Linked DNA regions of Arabidopsis thaliana. The protein of the gene in region 2 purifies or fractionates together with the protein of the main gene of each other region. This does not show direct contact. Each region holds a gene or a part of one and is shown on either strand. Other genes may lie near its edges.

Region 1 (7,200 bases), on a different chromosome or scaffold from region 2:
AAGTTTCGATCTCTCTCTCTACACAGTGTAGATTTTTCTATAGCTAGTTGTTGTTCTTATCGAAGTTGTGTATTTTCGTGAACTATTCCAAGGAACTCTTGCTCGATATATGTGACATTCTTGAGGTACAGTTTTACAGGGTTCAGGTAAGTGTGCAATCTCCAGAAGGTGTTAGCACAATGCGAGGAATTCTGAGGAGATTTAATGATTTTGTAAAGCTTTTAGCTGATGTAAGATTCTCTCAATCTTTCTCAACTCAATGATATTCAACATGATTTGTAGTTGTTTTTGGTCAGTGTGATTCAAACAAGTTAACTGCAATGTGTTTTATGGCATATGATTTACAGCTCAAAAGAGCATTTCCTAGGAAAAGTTTTCCATCAGCTCCTCCTAAAGGATTTTTGCGTGTCAAAAGTAGAGATATGTTAGAAGAGGTATGCATTCTCTTGTGGAGCTATGTTGTTCTTTTCAAATTTTCTCTCTTTCACGCTTTCCTGCTTTTGTGGTTCCTCAATCAAGAACATTTTGACGCAGGTTTCATGTAGAAGTATATGTAAAGTACTGTACTCAAGAATTATATTACACTCATTTTAAAGATGTGGTGTTGTTGCAGAGAAGGTGCTCTCTGGAGGATTGGATGACGAAGTTGTTATCTGATATAGAATTGGCAAGAAGTGTTGTAGTTGCATCCTTCCTCGAACTAGAAGCTACTGCTAGGTCTGGTATGAGCCCATTATAGTATTACAGTTACCGTTTGATAAAGATTCTTAAAGGCAGTTAGTTAATCTATGTTTAAGTAAATGTGCTTAGTCTTTCACTATAATTTAAAGTTGAATTTTTTTTTGTTCCAGCATGCCAAGTTGTAGATCAGAATGCTTCCGATTCCAATGATGATGGAAATAGCACAAGCTTGTCGTCTCTAGTTCACCCAAATTCTGGTGGCAGTTCTTTGCTCTCATCTGACTATGGCAGCGATACTGCTTATGAAACATCTGAGCTCGGATCAGCAAGTTTAGGTCAGGATGATGTTTCTGAAACTGATACTGGAGATCTAACTTTGGATGAAGATCTGACAAATCCAACAGAGAAGCTTGTAAAGTTTAGCATGTCCAACATTGACGAGGGACTGAGTATGAGTCAAACTATTATCGAGCAGCTAGAAGATTTTCCTAAGCACAGAGTCCATTTAGGATATGCCAATGATATCACAGAGACGAATTCGTACAATGGAAAAGCTTCTAAAGGTGTATTTCGAGCAAACAACGACTTACGGTGTCGCTCTGAATCAGAAACTAGTCACTCAGTGATGCATGATCGAAAGCTTTCTCTTGAGAGCGCTGACGGGGTTTCGTTACTAGCCGGTGAGACATCAACCTCTAGTATCTTGAGCTCCATTGTACATAGCCAGCTGGATGTTAATCATGATATATCTGTTGGTAACCTGGAGATACCGGGTAATGGACGAATAGTTCTCCCGCTGAAAATGCATAGTAAATTAAATAGGATTCTATTAACTATGAATGAGAGACTTCTCAATTCAAAAACAGACATGGAGGATCTTATAGCGAGACTAAATCAAGAGACAGCGGTGAAGGAATATCTGAACAGAAAGGTACATGATTGAAAATAATAGTACATCTGTTTTCAAGTTTGTTGGTAATGAAATCTGCGCTTCTTCCTTTACTCTTCATGCGAATGTCATATATGTAATCTTGGTTTTCCTGTTCAGGTTGATGATCTGGAAGTGGAACTTGAAACTACTAAACAGAGAAACAAAGAGAATTTGGAGCAAGCTTTGATGACCGAGAGACAGAGTGTTACCAAGATGCAGTGGGATATGGAAGAACTCAGGCAAAAAACTTTTGAGATGGAACTGAAGTTAAAGTCAAAAGAGGTATTGAAATTTGAAATAGTTCCATCTCAATCACATTCTTTCCACAATTAAGCAAGTTCACATCGAGCGAGTAATTTATATCTAGCAAAGTAACTTACTGACACCTGCAAACTAATACAGGATGGGAGTTCAGATTCTAAGACGTCAGGAAACTCAACAATCTCTGAGAGCCATGAGCTGTTACAAGAAATGGATGCCACAAAACAGCAACTGGAAGATCTTTCTAGACGGTATGTTGAACTGGAGGCAAAATCAAAGGCAGACATAAAAGTGCTTGTCAGAGAGGTCAAATCCCTGAGACGTTCACATATGGAAATGGAAAAGGAACTGACTCGATCGCTGACAGAGAAGTCTGACACTGAGGTAAATCTTAAGCTTGTAAATAAAAAGCATTATATTATTGCTTGCATCATCCGCTTGTGGTAAATGTATATGATCCTACAGAAAGAACATCAAAACATACTGAAACATGTTTAATTTTTTCAGAAACTCCTCCAACAGGAAAGGATAATAGTCGAGAACACGCTAGAAGCAAGAAGAAGGCTGTATAGTGACTGTGAAATTCTCCACGACAGGCTTAAAGTGAACAACACAAACTTGTCAATGGATGAGTCCAGTAACAACAGAGAAGACTTATCTGAAGTATCAAATGCCTTGCAAGATCAGATTGAGGTAAGCTATTGGTGCATCTCCTTTAATATCTGTAGCAAGAAAAATCGTATTCAAATGTTTACATTCGATAACCATGGCTCAAAATCGCCAAGCTGGATTCCTCGTTTTAAATTTGAAAGTGGCATATTTTCAGGCGCAACTGCTGTTAGGGTTTGATGAGACTGCTTCTGAGGATGAGCTGAGGAAGATAATGGCAGATATGTATGAGGACTGAGGAGAATATCAAATTGAGAAAACATTTGAATTCCGCAATGCAGGTTAAGAGCTCTGTGAAAGAGGAAAACGAAAAACGCAGAAGGTGAAGAGCTTATAGAATAGATATACCATGTACAGAGAAAAGTAGAGCAGAAAGTTGGTTAGTGACGTAAATCCCTTATTTTGAATATGCGAGTCAGATTCTTCTTTATGTAATTAATTGATGTATATGCACACACATGTCTACATCAGATCACCTAATCCATTGTAAAATTCGAAACCATCAGTGTCATTGTTTCTTGTTCACCAAAAACAACTACCATCCATCACTCATGGTCCACAGAGCAGTCGTTGAAAATCAGTGAAAGAAGTGTCATTTTGTCCCAAAAAAAAAGGAAGGACGAAGGAGACTTTTTAGTTGACCAAATCATATGGATCTACTAAACCGAAATAAACCACTCATAACCATTATAGTAAATTACTTGGTTCGGAGTTTTTAATTTCCGATCGTCTTCAACATCACCAAAGCAAAAAACTTTAGGGTTTTAGTGTTTTTTAGGGTTCTTCTTTCTCTCTACCTCTCAGTTCTGCTTTTGCTCTGTCTCCCTTCATTGGATAAATCAATTGGTGTTGTTAGCGAAGAAATAAGAAAGATGGGTACTGAAGTTTCTACCTCGCCGACAAGCCTCATTGATCAGACTGTTGTGCGTATTTTCTACTAAAACCTCTGCTTCTTTGATTATCGTTTTAGATTGGGATTACATTGAAAGATTAAGTTTTGTGAGATGGGTTTCAGGTTCCAGGTGATGTTGTTCTCGATTTATCAAACATGACTAACCAAACAATCAAACTCGGCAGTGGTCTCCGTCAGGTTTTTAACTTTCTCAAAATCACTTGTTCCAAATCTTCGATCATTTTTTTGGAGTTTGAAATTTGTTGTGTTGAGTGTATGAATGAATTAATGAATGTTTTGCTCATTATTAAACAAGTTATGTTGAATTTTGGATCTTGCATTGGCATTTGAGGAATAAACTTAATTTGGAATCTACAGTTTGCTTTTTGTTGGGCTTGCAAGGCTAGAAGATTGACATATGATTTTGAGGTTTTTTCAGGATAATGAGGTGATATCTGTTATGAGAGCTGGGAAGTTGAGGTACTCTAAGCCAAATAAGTATTGGGTGGAAAGTTCTCATAAAAGGGTGAGAACTAATTAGTTTCTTGCTGGTTGTATTTTGCAATAAATTGGTACCTTTTTCCTGATATCTCCTAGCTCTACTAGTTATTCGATTGTTCATCTGCGCTTAACTTGTCGAAAAAGTGGTGGTTTTGCTCTCTAGTTTGAAGAATTACTCCATGTTACTCGATTTTGACTCTGTTATTATGTTTTTTTTGCAGTATGTACCTCGTCCTGAGGATCATGTTCTTGGCATTGTGGTAGATTGTAAAGGAGAAGTAAGTACTCTAAAGACGATCCTTAAATTTTTGTTAGAGATCCTTTTCCCTTGGACCCTCTGAATCAAGCATTTTTTCTCTGTATACAGTTCATTTAATGCAAAAATCATGTATAAAGAATATTGATTTCGGTTGTGCTCTATCATTATCCAACTTCTATCATTGCTCAGCTTGTTTGTTAGTTACATGTATATGTTAATAAATACTTGAGATCATGGATAAAGAAAACGGCATAAGCCTTTATTTAGAGTGTTGCCCCTAGAGTTCTCAGCCAAAGTCATGTTGCATGTAACAAAGTAGATCATAATATTTTGAAAATCGTTTTGACACATGTTTCATTGCAGAACTATTGGATAGACATTAAAGGACCACAATTGGCTCTTTTGCCTGTGCTTGCATTTGAAGGAGCAAACAGAAGAAATTATCCCAAGTTTGAGGCAAGTACCTTCTGAATATACTTCTTCAATCTGAACCATCATCAAAATAGTCTCTAGCTGGTAACTGCATTCAGTTGTTTGAGATGTTAGTATTGCCATTACAGTGTATTGAGAATTTCCCTGGAAATTACAATGGCTTGTGTGTGATATTGAAAGGATCCAGTACTTCATTGGTTTGTTTATGAGCATAATAGGCACTTTTACTTCGTCTGGAGTTGAGCTCATCAACTCTATTTCAAGTGGATTCGCTGTATTAAGTGATAACATAGTGATCACGTGTTTTTGGGAGTTGTGACAATTTGTTGATACAGGTAAGCACTCTGCTTTATACTCGGGTTGTGAAGACAAACACAGGAATGAACCCGGAGCTGTCATGTGTAGACGGTTAGTCCATCCATTCTTTTTTCTCACAAAGTTTAAAAAGTTAAATCATTTCCTTGTTTCTCCGCATTAATTGTTTAGACTAAGCAATTGCTGACTAGAATTGTTGGACAATGTAATAGAAAGTGGAAAGGCTGCAGGATTTGGTCCCTTAAAAGATGGTTTCATGTTTGAAACTTCAACTGGTTTATCTAGAATGTGAGTTTCACTCTTATTCCTTTATTTTTCTTCTAGATGAAGTGGCCTCTTCTCGACTTTTTCTCACTCTTACACTTTGTTCTTATTAGGTTGTTGAGTTCACCAACTTGCCCGGTCCTTGAAGCTCTTGGAAAGAAACTCTCGTTTGAGACTGCGTTTGGCTTAAATGGGAGATGTTGGGTAAGAAAAACAGTGATTGCTTCTTAAGAATCCAAACAATGCAACTGGAAATCGCATGGTTAATATCTTCTGTCTGGTTTCAGGTGCATGCGGCTGCTCCTCGTATAGTGATTATCGTCGCCAATGCGTTGATGAATTCTGAAACTTTAAGCGGGACACAACAGAGAATCATGGTAGAGAAATTGCTGGAGAAAATTTCAGACTGAAAAGTGTGTTGTATGCTTAACAGTATCACTACTTTATAAAAGAAACGTTTTAATTCGCATCTCTTTTTTTAGTATGTAGACTACACTCATATGTTTCTCTTTGAGATAAAAACAAACCAAGATTAAAATTTAAAAGAAACAACATGATTCGTCTAACGATAAATTGATAAGTTTTGGGAGATGGATTAGAGGAACTAGGGTTTGGCAATATTAATTGAAAAATCAATCGATACCAATACAATAACAGTTACAAACATTACGGTGCCTTCATAGCAAAGCAATTAATAAGAATTTATTTGACAACTTCTCTCTTATATATAAGTCTTCAGATTTTCCTACTTGAAACCAAAACGACATGGAGAGACGCGATCAAGACTTGAGTTACTAAAAACGGCGACTAGATTCTACCATAACCGGAGATTTCCCAAACCCTAAAGGCGAGGGTTGTTCTACAGTCGTCCTATCCGACTCTGCTGTGAAGAAGTTTTCAGACAATGTCGTCTACAGATTGTACACCAAGGGTTTGGTGGTGGAAGGTAAGGAAAAGACCGTGAAGTCTGGATTAGAGTTGCGATTTGCGATGAGAAGGAGAATTTGTTGTATGAGATTAAAGAATCACTAAGCGACACTAAGATTAGCTGCATAGAAGTAGAGAGCATGGCACTGATTCGTGGGTTAAGAGAATCCTTCGATTTGGGGATCAGACAAGTCGTGGTTTATTGCGATGACCAACTGCTTTACCAATATGTAAGTGTTTTCTCTTCTTTGTTATTGCTTTAGTTTAGTTCTTGAAGTGTGGAAATAGTTAGAGGCCAGATTGGTGATTTTGCATGTTAGAATATACTTTGAATTCTTTGGAATGATGATATAATGTCTTGGTTTTAATGAGAGTGAATTCTGATTTACATTACAGATTGTTGGTCGAGGGAAGATTAAGAAGAAGGTTGTCCATCTTGTGGACGAATTTCAACTTCTTCTAGAAGAGATGACCTATACTGACGCTGATTTGATTGCCCTTAACGATGTTAATTTTGCTTTTAAACTTGCAAGAGAAGCCATAGTTTCAAGGGACGATGTGAAGGCAGAGATATGTAGCATTTGTTTTGAAGAAACCGAGGGCGAGCGCATGTTCTTTACCACGGAAAAATGCGTTCACCGTCATTGCTTTCCTTGTGTGAAACAGTATGTGGAAGTGAAGCTCCTAAGCGGAACTGTGCCCACATGCCTTGATGATGGATGCAAGTTTAAGCTCACCCTTGAAAGCTGTAGCAAGGTTTTGACATTAGAGCTGATTGAGATGTGGAAACAAAAGATGAAAGAGGACTCGATTCCCGCTGCAGAGAGAATCTATTGCCCATATCCAAACTGCTCAATGCTAATGTCCAAAACCGAGCTTTCTAGTGAATCCGACCTATCCAATGACCGTTCTTGTGTCAAATGTTGTGGACTCTTCTGCATTGATTGCAAAGTACCATCACATTCTGATTTGTCGTGTGCTGAGTACAAAAAACTTCACCATGACCCTCTAGTTGATGAGTTGAAGCTAAAGTCTCTAGCAAAGGACAAAAAATGGCGTCAGTGTAAA
Region 2 (9,419 bases):
ATATCTGCAAAGCATAAGTATCCGAAGAGTGTATCTCTAATCATAAACATAGATTCGTCTAATTGATATCCAGTCACAAGCTTGTCAGATGTTTTCTAATATGTTAGCATCATTATTTGGAAATATGCCTTCTATCTGGAAAGGGAGATAGTAAATCTTTGTCTTACAGTGCAGATGTACATTGCCAAAAGTTCAGTTAATGAGTTTTGAAGTTTATCCAGTACTGGTTTTAAGGGTCACTCCCACACAGGAAGATTGTACAGTTGAGCTGCTTTCCTGCAAGGTTGAATGATGAAGATTCCCGTTCTGATTTAGCAGATATATATTCTATTGTTTTCCTTTTACCGACAAATGTTTTGAACCACTGTCTTGCAGTTGGAAGGATCAGAGTTATTGGAGAACCAAAGTGAAAGGTTTTCAGGTAACTTTCCTCTTGTGAAGAAAAGCACTTGGTATCTAATGTTTCAAAAGTAATACAAGTGTTTTCCCATTTCTGGTTCACAGCAATAATGACAAACTGCATGACTTGGAACATGGAACATCCAGAGCCATTTTTGGAAGTTGACGTGAGATTGAATGTCACTCTAGAGGTAGTGTATTGCAGTTCAGTTTCTTTCATTCCTTCATAACTTCATTCTCGTGCAATCCTATTAGCCTTAAGAGTATCAAATACTGCACTGTACCGTGATGGTTGTCTGTGATCCATCATTGTGTGGATAGGTCATGTCGACTTATGATTCTCATTTCGGTTTTGTGTATATGAAAAAGCTTTGTTTCCTATGTTCATCAAAATCCCCCTTGTTCATGGCAGATCTCAACGCGACCGTTCACAATGCTTCCAGTATCAGCTGTTGAGGCTCCTGGGAATCTGTAAGTGTACATTATTGTTCGTTTTACATTTCTTCTGCTTCTTGGCTCGAAGTGCCCGAGTAATGTTATATTTTGATACGATGATTGCAGAGTAATGCAGACACTGGTCGATACACTGGTTCCCCTTCTGCTTCAGCAATTACTTAAAGATTACGACGAATGGATTAAAAAACAGCAACGGAACTCCTTAAACGCAACTTCTTAATCTATTACCAATGTTTTGTCAAACGGCCGAGGCAGGATTTGTTGGGTCGTTTTGGCCGTTTGAGATTACAGCGTGTATTAGAGATAGCTCTGAATTACTGCAAAAAGTACAAACAATTAAATGAACAAAATAGATTTGATTCACTTGTATACTTTGGCCTTTTGAGATGAAAGAGATAGCTTTGTATTAAAAGTGCAATGAAATTACTGAAAAAGTACAAACATAAATAAGGTCAAGAGAGATTTGATTCACTCGTAAACTTTAGTCTTTCTTGTGACAAAAATACAGCACAATAAGATTACATAACTTTTTCGTCATCAGTCAAAAGTCTCTAATCCTAAAGGCCAACCCAGTACGAACGGCCATTGGTGTTATGCATCGGAGATGGAGTAGGTGAAGACACCGACCATTCATACCAAACCTGAACCCGAAAATCAGAGGATCAATAATAGTTCTTTAGACAAAGAGTTAGTTGTATGGAATCTTGTGGTTTCAACTTTTTTTACCTTTGAGGAACCACAACACCTCCAAAAGTGTACTTCTAATGGAGTATCAGGGTGAACCTCCACAGGCTTCCTCAATGGGAAAAAGATTGGGAACCTGCCAAAAGGAACACGATTTTCTCTCGGTTGAAGTAAGAGGTTCGATAGAAGAAAGCTCTGTTTTAAAACATTTATAGACATTAATCCATTACCAGCTGAACATGTTTGGTGTTGCTGTTGTAGGCTCGATCCCAAGATGAACATCTTTATAAAGGACGGAATCAAAATAGCCAGCGAATCCTATTATGATCGCAGTAGATTCAGTTTCAGATTACGGAAATGGAGATGTAAAATTGACATTAACAAACAAAAAAGGGCTAGAAAAAAGCAGGTACCATGCACCAAAGCTGAGCCAGCATCGCTTGGTAGACTGAACTGAAGCTTCTTATAGCGTTGGTTGTTGACTTTCGTTGAGAAGTTTGGATGAGTAAATGTGAAAACCTATTTAAGACCAAACCAAAAATCCTGAGATGGTCAGATCGACAAGACTTGCATAAATGTATTTAAAGAGAACACTTTAAGCTATTAGAAAATGCTGGAGACAGAGAGAGACTCACAGACTGGGAAGGAGCAAGCTTTGCTACACTATGCAGCTTGACAACATAAGCAGTTTCAAAGTGCGCAAGATCTTTATGAGCCTTAACCTGCCAAATGGATGAAAAAGAACTTGAGTTAATCTGAAAACTCTTGCGAGTACATAGCAAAAAGCAGAAGAACCTACGTCATTGTAAAGCTTCGAAGCTGTTATAGGCTGTATGAAACTTGTATACCTGAAAAAGTAATAACGATGTTCCTCCTCCAGTTAGAGAAACAAAAGGACAGATGAGTTTCTTATGAAATTTCAACTAAGCGAAGGAGTACACATACGAGGATGGTATTGAAATTCCGTCTGGCTTCAGAAACCTTTGGGCTCCATCAAGACACTCAGGAGAAAGTTCATTGTCTCCAAAAGAACCCAGCAGTTCGCTAACCTGCATAGAAGAGGCAAACGAGAATTAGATGAACTGTATATAATGTCAGCATGAGTATTAGCTACAAAAATCTGTACATACTGACCAATATATCAGCTTGCTCGGGAGCATTCCAAAAACGCATGTCACAGGATATTATCGTAACAACGTCTTCCCATCCTTCCATCTTAACCAAATTCTATCAGAAAAAATAACAATGCTCTGAGTTAATTAGAAACCACACTGCACGTCCGAATGAAATCACAGGAAAATTAGCAATTTTTTAATCGACTCAGTGCTGACAACTCACATGGAGTGTTACAACGGCATTAGGATTCTTTTCCACGGCATAAACTTTCAACTTCCGATCAGTTTCTTCAGCTGCCTGGTAAAGGAAACAATGAACACATTTGATTAATGAAACAAATGAATTTTCAATGTCTCCTTGTGCATCAGGACTTTACCTGTAACGATGCCCTCACAAGGGGTCCCCTTCCTGCCCCCACAACCATCAGGACCTAAAAACTAAAATTTCAGTCCTACTGAAGTATTTCATATGAATAGCAGAAAAAAAACTTATAAATGAAAATGCCACTTTGTAAGCAAAACATTGACATATGACATACAGTAGTCAACTCGGATGCTTTTTCATCAGGTACCCTGTCCACCAAGGCTTTCTCAACTGCTCTTTGATACTAACAACACAAAGATGGACGAAAGTTAAGCATGCTTTAAAAAAAAACCAGGCTATGATATTAAATTGTTCAACATGATTCATCCATCAGTCCACTCTCCTCTGCAAACCGAAGCAGAAATAGACGAGGGGAAATCTAGAAACCAAAGGAGTTAAAATTTAAGATGTGAGGGGAAAAAACTAGAATATGCAACATACTTGGATGTATTTAACAGAGTCTCTCTCAAACGTCTCATAGGTTTGGGCTTCGAGGTTGTCCATAAGAGGCTGTATTCATTAAAAAAAAAACAGTAGAGGCTCTTTACAGTAAGAATAGAGCATTTTCATACAGGGTAAATTATCATGATGAACGGACAGAAATCAGAATTGCTTATGAAAAGAGGCTAACCTGCAGGGGTGCCTGCAAAAAATCCCTGTAACCCAGCTGTACAAAGAGTAAGATTTAGATAACTGTCAGAATAGAGTTGTATCTGCCAGCTTGCATCTAGTGATAAAAAACATAGAAGGACTGAGGCAAAAGGATGCAAAAAACGACCTCGATGCGTTCCTGTTCAGAAAGTGATTCCATCTTTTGGAACAGATAAGCAACATAGTCCAAATATATGCGCAGAGGATTCTTCTCTGTACCTGACAAACAATGCCCGTAATAAAATATTTAGCTCAAAACTTGGAATCAACTATGATTATAACAATGCCCGTGATAAATTGAGCTACGGAAAACAAGCCCAGAGGATAATAGCTAATTTTCAGAGGACAAAAGATTATACAGAAAAATTACCCTCCGAGCTAGAATCAAGAGGCTTTTGAAGATTATGAACAGGCTTTCCACAAATTACAACCTGCATTTACAAGATTGATGATAATGAGCACCAGATCGAGTCTAATAGATCTCTTTTGTGAGTCAAAAGAAGATTTTAATTTATTTCTATATCACAAAGAGTGGGATGTTTGTTACCTGGGCAGCATGATCAAAAAATCCTGCTATTAACTTTTGGTGGCGTTTGGACAAGCAAGGATAACCCCGAGCATTTGTTAAGAAAGCCTGCAACGCCAAATTAGAGGCATTTTGTGATTCGCAATACTTCAAAGTGGAGTTTATAATAATGCGGCAAGAAGTCAGGCACTTACATCAGTGCTTAATATGGCTGCTCTCACAGACTCTCCCATCCAGCGCCCTAGTGAAGTTTCAGAGGGTAGTGTACTCCTATATGAAGAAAATGGTGTTATGTTAGTAGAGTGGAAAAAAAACTTTGGGTCCACATTAACAACAATAATCAAGAGTTTCTCTCAACTCACAGAACATCAAGAGCAACAGACAGCTTACTGTCATGCTCACAAAGAAGACGAAACGAATTCCACAGCTCCCAGGAATCATTCTGCATAGAAGAGAGTATATATTAAAGTAATCCTCACACAAAGTGTACAAAAACGTGAACAGATAGGGACATTTATTTGTATTTCTAGGTTTAAAAGGCAGCCACATCAAGTGATTCCAAGGGATCCGCATTAGAGAGTCCCTTAAAAATCTGAGAAGGCACAAAAAGTACTAACAATCTTAAGTTTGCATAAAATTTGATCCAATGTCTTACCAGTCCCTCTGAGGTATCATCCATTGAATCACCTTCAGACTTCACCAGTGGAACCCTTAGCCATAACTTCAGCGCAGAAATGACATTTAAACAAAACAAAGAAGATCCACAAAATGTTAGAGCTTGATTGAAGGTGATCTTGTAAAGAAAAGTCTCATCTGAAATAAAGCTAGACCGGCAGCAAGAAACTCGTAAACCACCTGCAAGGTAGTGAGGCCTTGTAAGATCTGGTTCACACATCTGGCATAATTGGCGCACGATTTCCCTTTAGGAGTGGGAAGAAGGCATGCCTGCAACAAAAGAATTTCTCTTCAAAATCACTTTGCAGGCAAGAAAACAAAGAGAGTGAGTTAAATCCATAGATGCACAAGCACCTGTAAGGAGAGATGAGTAGCCCAAGCTATTTCTTGCTTCAATGTGGTTTCTGAATCCATCCGTAAGACCTCATCTTCAGAATCCAAGTCAATCCACGAACTAATTTTTCCTAGAGAATGAAGATTTACCACTCAAATCAAAACCCATCATATTCATAACGAGTACAAAATCACACGGTGGAGAAGCAAATAGAATCATACCAACAACATGACTGCTCCATTGAGAAGGTGACAAGACTAAGTCAGAGCCACAGACTGGAAGAACCTGAGTATCTACACCATTTCCTTCCACCAAGCTCGGCCTATACGAAGGATCCACCTGCAGGAAGAGAAAGAAGTAAACTCCGTCAAAGATATAAAATTTCAAATCCCAATTGATACAGTAACAACAGGCAAGGACGTGAGAGTCGAGGAAGAAGAAGGAAACAAACCAGAGGAGCGAGAACATAGTCAAAACCGCCGGTGGAAATGTTGAAGTTGAGAAGATGAGTAACATCGTTGGAGAAATCAGTCTCAACGCCGCAGTATCTGGACTCGGTCCTCTCCCATCCTCCTCTCTCTCCGAGCGGCATCTCTTCTTCTCTCTCTATTGAGCTCACAGGGAGTGAAGGAATTTGCAGATGGAAGTGAATCTTCTTTTCTCGAGCGGACGACGAAAACGAAAGGGTTTTTGACAGGGTTTAATTTTACTGATCTGTAGTTTATATCGGGCTTTTCTAATGGGCTTTATGATATGCTATACCTAGCCCATTTATGCCATCCCAAGCTCCAACCATTGGCTCTAAACATGTTAATTGGTTTTGACATAAAAGAGTCTTATGGTTTGTGATAGTAGTACTAGACTACTAGTAGCCACCCGAATTCAAGTGAATATTTACATATTCTTAGAAAGAAAAATGTTGATATAGTGTGTGATTTGAAGTGCTTTCTCATATCAATTATGTCAAATGTAAGAGATATAACCAAAAGATTATTTTTCACAGATACAGCTTATGAATCACAATGCATCAAGGTGCAGAGATGGGTTTCATAACATTCTAGCCAATCATTAAAAAAAAAAAAAACAACAGAAGAAACAAATTATTATTTTCCTAATCAAACAAGTAGAAAACAAATGAAAAACCCTTCTTATACCCAATACCAATAAAAGCATATCATTCTCTCAAGCATCAATCTTGAGATTCACATCCCTGGAGGAAGAGTTCCCATCGATGCTTCTGCTTTCAACTTCATCAAAATGGTCTTCACGGGCGTTATCAGCGAGCATCAGAGCAACCAACCAGAAAAGGCACGAGTCCAAAGACACAAAGGCACCTCCACCAAGCAGACCGGTCTTAGCCGTGGGGCAACTGGTTTCTAAGTTTCGGTGAACATTACGGGTCAAGTGAAGTTGTTCTGTAATGGTTGGCCAGAGCAACAGAGACAAGGCCAGTCCAGATGTTATCCTACACGACAATAACCATAGGTCACAAAAAGACTCCTATTTTTAGGCTTTATAATACCGGAATCCAAGAATATTTGTAATGGTCTAGCTACTGTGTTCTTGAAAAGAAGAGGAAATGCTTACAAGGCAATGTTGAAGAACACAGAGAAGCTGGTGCTTTTGAACAAGACAGAGTTAGGAACAGACTTTCCCTTGTAAGAGATGAACAAGGATTTGTATCCTGCTACAGTGCAGGCAAGGAGAAAAGCAGCAGAAAGGTATCCCAAGGCAACAGTTGGATCAGATGGGTATTTGCAGATAACTACTCCTTTTCCACTTATTGGAGTCCCAGACGCAGGCTAAGATGAAAACACAAAGAACAGAAACAAATCACACAATCAGTAACACATAAGAATAAGAAAGCCGAAGTGGTTTACCCACTTATGAAAAGCTCTTGACATACGGTATCCTAGAGAGATCAGTGACAATGATGAGGTCAAACAATTGTGTAGAAAGAGTAAGATTTAGCTACGGGTCAGTTAAGATCACATTGGTTTCCCATCATTAGATACAATTATGAAGCTGTGAGAAGATCACATTTTTTCATACAATCCAACAATATCACAATATCAGAGTCATAGTCCTGTGACTAAAACAAATTTGACATCCTCCATTCACAGAGAATAGCACAAATAACAACCAAAGCATCCTAAAGAAACAGGAAATCAAAACAATTGATTCATCCATAGTTAGATCACTGTTTGATACATACAATTCCAGAGTGATTATTTCCTGTGCAAAAAAAAAACTAACTTGCGCCAAAAAGCAACAGGAATTGTTTATGTGGTAGTAGTAGATAAACACAAAGAAGAAGAACAAAAATCATCATCGAAAACAAACAGGAAATTTAAAGTTTTCTCACGAAATAATCAAAAGGAGACGACTTTTTTTTGTACCTTCTTGTTCTCGGCGATAACTCCCAAAACAAAGGATAAGACGCCCAAAGCAGAGACGACCAACGACATTTGTTTCATACTAACCGCCATATTTGTTGTATCTTCTTCTCCGTCTAACCTTAACCTATATAATATATCCGAGAGCACACAGATATCAAATTCGATTTCCCCCAAAACATAAATCAGATTTGAAAATCGAATCAACGAACAGAGTCGGAAAAATCGAACTGTAAAAGAAAAACACTCACCGAGACGACGAATGAATCTGGAGATTTGTGGCTTCAGAGAGATAAGAGAAATCGGAAGATATGGTTAGTTAGGTTGCTTAGTTTTGATTTTGGTTTAATTCGATCCACTTGCACTGATAATTCGGGGATGAGCCCTAAAAAGTCTCCGAGTGTTGTTGTTGTTTTGGGCTCTTCAAGATTCTGTTGACCAAAAAATAAAAGATTCCATATTTATCTTCTTCCACATGTATTCATCATCTTATTTTTCTTTATAAAAAAATCTACGTAATAGAGATTTTCAACTGATTTACTTCCTCATATTATTTTTTATTCTGAATATAGATATTACTATAATTTACAAAATAAAAATATATCTTGATCGTATAATTATTTGGTATAAAATATTATCTTCCCACGTAGGTATATAATTTACCAAAAATAAGTTTAAGATGGATTTACCAAGAATCCAATATTATTACTTGCGATACTTTATATGGGAAGTAGAATAATTGGATATGATATTGGAATTTCTTTTTGGAAAGTACATATTGAAAATGTTCATTATCGTATGAAGCAGAACTTAAAGACTGGCTGGGATAGTTAGTACTTTTGAGAAATGGGATTATCGAATCTTTGAAGATAATCTGATGTTGTATGTTCCAAAGAGTCTGTCGAGTTTTGTATGCGGAAGCTTTCACTGTTGTAACACTTTGCAACACTTGTTCTTTATAAAATGGTAACACTTATGGGGATATTTAAAAAAACAAAGATAGCAACATGTTTAGCTTTTATAAAAATGTATTATTTGAACGATACCAGGGAATCAGGATGCTAGATGCATTATCCGGTCGGTGAACGATCGTGACACCCAAGCAACAAATATACAAGACCAAAATTGGCCACGCTCTCTCCTCTACCCCTCCAGCTTTACTTGTCCTTATCACTTCCCTTTATCATCTGAATTAATTTCATCTCATTGATGCTTCTCTATGTATAATGATCCAACACAAATAAATCAATCAAATCAAACCAACCGATCACTTTCTCTTTTTCACTCATAATCATTCCAAGCATGATTTTAAAATGGGCTTTTGTTGTCTCTCATAAAAGGTGATAGCTATTCGCCTCTTCCACTTTCTTCTTAGATTGTTGTAGTATAAGTTTAAACCTACGACTACGAGTGGATAAAATGGTTTTGGTTTGACTTATTAGGTTTAATCGAGTACGACAAGTGGACTTGTGACACTTGTCCAACCGATACTTCTTATCTTGTGTTTTTGTGTTTTCTCGTCTTCTAGATCACGTTTTGGCATATTGAATTTATTATATAAGAATAAGATTCGATTGTTGAATTTTTAATAAGTATGGCTTTGTTATATTACACGTAAGAATTGAAAACATTACTTGATCAAAGAAATAAAAGATTTTATGTGTGGTGACTGATAATGTTGTTGAGGAAGATCAGAGTCATTAATGCAGACTCAGTGACCAGTGGACAATCTTGTATAAAGAAAGACATTACAGAGTTATATTCAAAAACGTGGAAAAGTATGCATTACCTTCTTGAGATGGAAATCTTAACAAAAACA

What was found.
Region 1: the proteins of SKB1 (region 2) and AT2G25355 fractionate together in Arabidopsis thaliana (co-fractionation; one large-scale study listed by BioGRID). This does not show direct contact.

The regions. Positions count from the first base shown.
Region 1 is NC_003071.7:10,797,977-10,805,176, forward strand, and holds AT2G25355 (PNAS-3-like protein), read left to right. Parts: upstream 1-3,114; 5' UTR 3,115-3,414; coding exon 3,415-3,465; intron 3,466-3,557; coding exon 3,558-3,632; intron 3,633-3,873; coding exon 3,874-3,960; intron 3,961-4,156; coding exon 4,157-4,213; intron 4,214-4,557; coding exon 4,558-4,650; intron 4,651-4,961; coding exon 4,962-5,034; intron 5,035-5,153; coding exon 5,154-5,229; intron 5,230-5,318; coding exon 5,319-5,409; intron 5,410-5,492; coding exon 5,493-5,615; 3' UTR 5,616-5,746; downstream 5,747-7,200. Other genes in the region: AT2G25350 (Phox (PX) domain-containing protein), read left to right, coding at 132-230, 348-434, 614-722, 852-1,612, 1,730-1,894, 2,015-2,257, 2,381-2,722; AT2G25360 (RING/U-box superfamily protein), read left to right, coding at 6,273-6,362, 6,529-7,200.
Region 2 is NC_003075.7:15,130,773-15,140,191, forward strand, and holds SKB1 (SHK1 binding protein 1), read right to left. Parts: upstream 5,925-9,419; 5' UTR 5,797-5,924; coding exon 5,656-5,796; intron 5,544-5,655; coding exon 5,426-5,543; intron 5,335-5,425; coding exon 5,225-5,334; intron 5,141-5,224; coding exon 5,051-5,140; intron 4,917-5,050; coding exon 4,851-4,916; intron 4,638-4,850; coding exon 4,558-4,637; intron 4,466-4,557; coding exon 4,390-4,465; intron 4,304-4,389; coding exon 4,217-4,303; intron 4,101-4,216; coding exon 4,040-4,100; intron 3,889-4,039; coding exon 3,797-3,888; intron 3,686-3,796; coding exon 3,650-3,685; intron 3,529-3,649; coding exon 3,460-3,528; intron 3,263-3,459; coding exon 3,194-3,262; intron 3,086-3,193; coding exon 3,032-3,085; intron 2,953-3,031; coding exon 2,878-2,952; intron 2,767-2,877; coding exon 2,674-2,766; intron 2,589-2,673; coding exon 2,485-2,588; intron 2,388-2,484; coding exon 2,339-2,387; intron 2,262-2,338; coding exon 2,175-2,261; intron 2,059-2,174; and 10 more. Other genes in the region: AT4G31115 (DUF1997 family protein, putative (DUF1997)), read left to right, coding at 175-283, 376-421, 505-590, 812-870, 961-1,075; AT4G31130 (keratin-associated protein (DUF1218)), read right to left, coding at 6,387-6,669, 6,792-7,006, 7,604-7,693.